Linked DNA regions of Bombyx mori. The protein of the gene in region 2 interacts with the protein of the main gene of each other region in a pairwise test. Links are inferred from orthologs where the notes say so. Each region holds a gene or a part of one and is shown on either strand. Other genes may lie near its edges. The genes, in order: rho GTPase-activating protein conundrum and moesin/ezrin/radixin homolog 1.

The links.
Region 1: the proteins of moesin/ezrin/radixin homolog 1 (region 2) and rho GTPase-activating protein conundrum interact in binary tests that used the Drosophila melanogaster proteins (3 or more experiments, as listed by UniProt). The link is inferred for Bombyx mori from reciprocal best matches to the Drosophila melanogaster genes Moe and conu.

The regions. Positions count from the first base shown.
Region 1 is NC_085111.1:1,609,608-1,613,440, reverse strand, and holds part of rho GTPase-activating protein conundrum, read left to right. Parts: intron 1-810; coding exon 811-970; intron 971-1,340; coding exon 1,341-1,504; intron 1,505-2,833; coding exon 2,834-3,011; intron 3,012-3,833. UniProt on the Drosophila melanogaster protein: GTPase-activating protein (GAP) for Rho1; functions with the ERM protein Moe to regulate Rho1 and control proliferation in the developing epithelium. Recruited by Moe to the cell cortex where it negatively regulates Rho1 activity.
Region 2 is NC_085115.1:15,742,912-15,745,850, reverse strand, and holds part of moesin/ezrin/radixin homolog 1, read right to left. Parts: intron 2,490-2,939; coding exon 2,355-2,489; intron 1,562-2,354; coding exon 1,211-1,561; intron 787-1,210; coding exon 622-786; 3' UTR 1-621. UniProt on the Drosophila melanogaster protein: Involved in connections of major cytoskeletal structures to the plasma membrane. Together with wgn, involved in control of axon targeting of R8 and R2-R5 photoreceptors, independent of egr.

The DNA.
Region 1 (3,833 bases), on a different chromosome or scaffold from region 2:
AATCTAGAAGTACAATTAGTGTGTGTGTGTGTATGTGTGTGTGTGTGTGTGCGTGTGCGTGTGTGTGTGTGTGTGTGTGTGTGTATGTGTAGATGCGTGTTAATACCTAATATATAAATTGCTCATTACCAAAAATGTGTAAAAATGTGTAATCTACTCCAGTAATTCTTCTATATCTTCGTATGTAAGGGAGAAAAGCCATCTATCAATGATAATTTTAACTTCTTTAGAAATAAGTGGATAAATATTTAGTAATTTATTTATCTTGTTGTACAGAATAGAGCTTAAATACCTATAGTGAGACCTGACTACATTATAATTTGCTACATAGATTTTGCACACTCTGCCCTGACGACGAGTTTGCGAACAGATATTAGGGTCAAAAACGAGTTCCAAATGTTTACGTAACAATGTGCTCCTAATAAAAGATTGTCTAACTCGAGGCACTTTGCAGATATCATACAATTCCTCCGTTGGAAACCTTATTGGTTTTTTAGATATTACTTTAAGCACGGCTCTCTGTGCTCTTTCCAATCTAAGTAATAATCCTTTCTTACAGCCTCCCCAGACGACAATGCAATAGGTTATGACAGAGTGTGCCAAAGCATAATAAACCATTTTCAGTATGTCGAGATCGCTTGATGTTCTTAGCTTCCGAAAGACAAAGATAAGCTTTCGTACTTTTCCAACCAAATCATTTATATGCTCTTGCCAAGATAGGGTGCCGTCAATTTTTAGACCAAGATATTTTACAGCATTAGTTCGTGAAATTTTTTGACAAAGATCATTATATAGGGGTGTTGTTCCCAGGATTGGCCGGAGGCGGACAGTAACGTGGACATAGAGAGCATAAGCGAGCCTCAACTGAAGCGCTTGCAGCCGCTACTGTGGTTGGAGCTCACGGCGATATTCGACAAGTACTCGCTGCCCTTCCAGAAGAGGAAGCCACCCAAAAAGAAGCGGAAGGAAGGTACGAGAAACCTAGCAGGAAATAGGAAAGCTTTTTCTTAATAATTTCAACGATCCTCTATCAAGGACCTTATAGTCTTAATAATCTTATACTGGTGGTAGGACCTCTTGTGAGTTCGCACGGGTAGGTACCACCGCCCCGTCTATTTCTGCCGTGAATTGTGTTTCGGTTTGAAGGGTGGAGCAGCTGTTGTAACTATACTGAAACCTTAGAACTTATATCTCAAGGTGGGGGGTGCATTTATAGATGTTTATGGGCTCCGGTAACCAGTTAACACCAGGTGGGCTGTGAGCTCGTCCACCCATCAAAGCAATAAAAAAAATCCTACTTATCCTTCGTAGTATGTGTTATAAGGGCTGTTACATTGCAGAGGGCTCCGTGTTCGGCGTGTCCTTGGAGACGCTGGTCCGCAAGGACATGATCCTGTGGGAGGAGACGTGCAGCGCGCCGAGCGTGCTGTGCTGCGTCACGCGCGCGCTGCGGGCTCGCGCGCACCACGAGGGGCTGCTCAGGGTCTCCGGGAACAAACAGAAGGTAACAACATGCTCCTCCACCACACTAGTTCTAGTGAACGTAATTCTAGCGGTAGGCAGCGGCATGGCTCTGCCCCTGGCATTGCTGAAGTCCATGGGCGACGGTAACCACTCACCATCAGGTGGGCCGTATGCTCGTCTGCCTGAACTGTGAATAAAAAGTAAAAAAAAACCATCAGTTTGCTATCGAGAAAAAAAACTATTTAATTTCACCTCTTCTCAATCGATTTAATTATTTTTTTTCACTCATTCTTATGACGCTTGAAGGGAACAGCTGATTTCACTCAATTTTAACTTCACCGTAGCTCAGTTTTTATCGCACCGCCCAACTAAACCATTTCTCCCCAAACAATCTTACCTAACATCGCCTAAACACAGACTTCGGAGAATTTTGTTCGTGATTTATATCTGCTTTAAATGGACATTGCTTTATTAATATAGATTGACTGGTGGTAGGACCTCTTTTGAGTCCGCACGGGTAGGTACCACCATCTGCCTATTTCTGCCGTGAAGCAGTAATGCGTTTCGGTTTGAAGGGTGGGGCAGCCGTTGTAACGATACTGAGACCTTAGAACTTATATCTCGAGGTGTGTGGCGCATTTACGTTGCAGATGTCTATGGGTTCTAGTAACCACTTAACACCAGGTGAGCTGTGAGCTCGTCCACACATCTAGGCAATAAAAATAAAATAAAAAAATATTTAATAGTTAAGTATTGAAATGAACAAGTGGCTACACAACGTGCGATCTATGGGATTGACATCAGAGAGGCCACATGACTTTTCGTTAGCTTATGTTAATATGTTAGGCGGGGGACCCTCGAAATTCTGATACCAAAGTCTACCTTAATTGAATAAAAACATTAGTTTCCCTTCGTCTGATATAAAATGAAAATAACAATGAAATTGCCAGAACCATTCCAAATTTTAAATGATTTAGGTATGTTAGGCGGGAGACCCTGGAAATTCTGATCCGAAAATCTACCTGTATTGAATAACAAAGATTATAGTTTTTCCCTTTATAAATATAATACTAGCCGTATTCGCCCGCTTCGCTGGGCATTTAAAATTAACATTATTATTTCTCACCTCCACAAAGATACTCATCATTAACGCCCCCACAACTGGTGTAGGGAGTCCAACACTCATATAAATATTAGCCTATCCATTAAGTACATGTATTTTCTACATGGATACCATGTTTCAAGTCAATCGGATGCATGGTTCAGTAGTTATAACGGAACATCCGTAAAAACCACTGTAGATTTATATATTAGTATAGATAAATTAAAACCAATGAAATTGCCTGAACGATTCCAAAATTTGACTTAGGTATCAGAGCTGAGTCAGCTGATAGAGCGGCAGTGGTACGAGGACCGCGGCGCGGTGGAGGCGGCCGTCTCGCTCGCCAAGGGACACGACCTCGCCGCCGTCTACAAGCGGCTGCTGCGGGCGCTGCCCCAGCCCCTACTCACGCAGGAGCTCATGAGGCTCTTCTACCACACTTATGGTACGTATATTCAACACTGCTGTCTTTTTTGACGTGACAACGTCTTATAATTCGATGGAGCCGGCTGCACGCACGAAAAAACATGACTCATGCGGCGTTACCTCGCTCTGAGGCGTTCCATTAAGGCTTGAAGTGCAAGCGAGAACGCGCAACGAGCGACAAAGAGGCACAATCGGCCGCCGCGTTCGGCAGCGTTCGACATCTGTCTCTCTCCTACTTGAGTGAGCGATGCATCCGCGTGGACAGCTGCTATACAATAATACATTTACATGTTTTCGTCAAGTATCAGTTCAGTGAAAAGTGAATGTGGTGTCAATTGTTTATAGAAACGATAATTGCGATAATTGAAAAATGAAACCATTCCATCAGTATTTTCTTATGACGTTGTGCGTTCAACTATCGTCAGTAGTATTGATACCGTACCGAGAATTACCGAATTTAGACGATGTCAAGAAAAGGGATGTCCAATATGCGTGTTTGAGAATGTTGCTCAATCGATTTTTTTTTTCAAAATGATTAAAAAAAAAATAAAAAAAAAATGTGTGCGTGTACTAGTGTACACACGTAAGAAGTGAAACTTGTTTATGGCCTTATTTTTCGAAAAATGATCTACATGCAACTTTCTAGAAATTGGTTAAATAAAGTTAAATTAGATAAAGTTTAAACAAAAGGATTTTATTATCATAGACATGAATACAAAAAAGTTAAATTAGATAAAGTTTAAACAAAAGGATTTTATTATCATAGACATGAATACAAAACAGATGGCGCGTAACGGAAAAATGTGACGCGTAACCGAAAAATGTGACGGTAAATTTTTTT
Region 2 (2,939 bases):
ATCGTCATCAGTGTTATTAACAATGTCAGTAACACTGATGTCGGGATGCTAACTTTACGTACAGACTTTTAAGCCTAAACTAGTAATTCAATTGTATCTTTCTCTTTTTCTAATGGACATTCGTTAAATCTAGACTAGGCCTGGTGTGAAGTCCGTGCACACATTCCCCAATACTATATGTTACATACGAATACATGAGCTTACAAGCAGTACGGCCACCGGACTCTGCACGTCGACATGCTGGGAGCTAACGGAGCTGCTACGGGAAGAGTTTACTTTTGGTAAGATAATTTATTTTGAATACGTTGTGACACTTTACAGTGTTGCCAGTTTAAAGAATTACTGCTATGAACAGTAGTTTTTTTTAAAAAAGTACAAAATTTGTGTATTTTATATACGCTACATTATTTAATTTACACACCCGAGCTCGAAGATACGAACTGCTCTTAGTCACTGTTCCTATTAATTAATACTGAATGACAATTTGGAAAATACTAAAATATCGTTACAATTTACTATCGATTGTACAAAAATCGATATTCAGTTTATTTTGAGCGCGATTCTGTGATTTATGTGTCGTGTGCAGGTCAGCTCCCTACAGTCAGCGCCGGCGACGTTAAGTTACATGTTCTCGAACTGGTCGACGCGACGTTTGGTGTTGCCCTTGCGGATCTCGCGGAGCGTCTTGTACTTGTCTCGTCCCTGGCGGACGTTCTCGCGGTGGATCTTGTCCATGGCCGTCTCTTTAGTTTCGTCGCGGGACTGCGCGAGGTCTTGTTTCAGCGCCTGTTGAAAAGATACCGAGATATTATATAATATACTCCATAATTACAAAAAAAATAATTGATAAATTAATTTTATTGTTTTTTTAAAAGGCTCGTCGTGTGCTCACTGATCGAGAAAAATTTAATTTTAATCTTTTCACAAAATGCAATTTTCAAACACTCACGGTGTGGAGTCGAGCAATTGTTTGAGCGATATATTTTTGTTGTTTAATTCAGTTAAAGTTAACAAATATATAGCACAAATCCATCTACCCTACCATTTCAAAATAAGTTTATTCTAGACCTTATCCTTTAATATCTCTAAGTTTTAAAATAATACGAGTATAGTTTGTATGGCTAAACTCTGTCACACTTGCAGTGAGATGCTGTTGAATATAGGTTGGCAGCTCGTTGCCGCGGTGCAGCGTGAGAGCACTGTTAGTTACCTTGAGCTGGTTGTGTAGCCGCTCGTTCTTCTCGGCCAAGGTGGTCCTGGCCTCGACCGGGTCGACGAGGTCGTCGGGCGCCTGGTGCAGGTCTCCGCCGCCGGACTCCTCGCCGTGGTCGGAGCCGTCGTCCACCCCGCCGTCCTCAGCCACGTGGTGGTGCTGCGGGGTGGTGGCGGCCGCCAGGAGCGCCGCGGCCTCGTCCTGCTTGCGCCGGGCCTCCTCCACCTCGTCCTGCAGGCGCCGCGTCTCCGAGTCCTTGAGCTCGACTTCGGTTTGAATGCGTTGTACTTCCTCTTGTTTAGTGCGGATTTCCTCTTCTAACTTGGCACGTTCTGCTGCTTCCATATTCTATAACAAAATTATGTACATTATTATTATTTTTATTACTTAGGTGAGTGGACGAGCTCACAGCCCACATGGTGTTAAGTGGTTACTGGAGCCCATAGACATCTACAACGTAAATGCGCCACCCACCTTGAGATATAAATTCTAAGGTTTCAGTATAGTTACAACGGCTGCCCCACCCTTCAAACCGAAACGCAGTACTGCTTCACGGCAGAAATAGACAGGGTGGTGGTACCTACCCGTGCGGACTCACAAGAGGTCCTACCACCAGTAAATAAAAAGTACAAAAAAGTAAACAAGATATTATATTACAATATCAATACATATTGTCATTTTCATTCCCCAATTTTCTAAAGTTGACACAGAGAAGGGATGAACGAATTCATAGACAAATTTCAGTCATGTAATTTAATTGTATTTAAAACTAAGCGATCCTATAAACTACTCTTTGGAAGTCACAACACAAGTCATTTGTTTCTTGAACGAATATTGTTTGGAACCGAACAGGGCGAACGCTCATTATTAAAAATATGTTCTACTGGATTTCTCCTCGTTATAAATTTATAACATTTTACCTCACTTAATTATGTAAATGAATTACTTTATACAGTGAATAAGCTGGTTTTTTTTTCAGCGTGGGCAGGCGTCCCACTAGATGGGCCGACGATCTATTGAGGTTCGCGGGGATCCGCTGGATGCAAGCAGCGCAGGACCGGTCTTTGTGACGAGGCTTGGGGTAGGCCTATGTCCAGCAGTGGACGTCTGTGGGCTGTTTTTTATTAAACAAGTAAATTACCTTGGTCTCCTCGAGTCTCTGCATCATGTCGTGCAGCTCTCCCTGTCTCCGCTCCAGCTCCTCCTTGGCGGCCTGCAACTGCTTGAGCTGTTCCTCCAAGCGCCGGATCATGTCCTGGGCCTCGAGCAAGTTGGCCTGCATCATACAATAAACATTTGTCAATTGTGTCCTCGGCCGTAGCGATACTGCGTTTTGATTCTAAAGAAACTAAAGAGATTGGCGACTGTTTGAATTCGAAACGTCAAAAGTGTCAACGAGCGACGTCCACTATGACAAAAAATTTATCTAATATTTAAAAAAAAAAAGACATGGACGCTGAGTTTCTTGCCAATTCTTCTCAGGACGGAGGCTAGTTTTTGTGAATTGGCGGTAGTTCTTTTTGACGTTCAACAAGTATGTACTTTCATTTATGTTGAATAATTTGTTTTTGATTTGATTTGACACTTTCCCCTTTTCAATTCCAGCCGCCAAGGGCGACACATCGATTTCATATTTCATATATCTTTTTATTTGTCACTTAAAGACTAATAAAGTTATCAAAACCAAAAAATACAGTCCACTCTCATTTACCACAACGCAACAGCG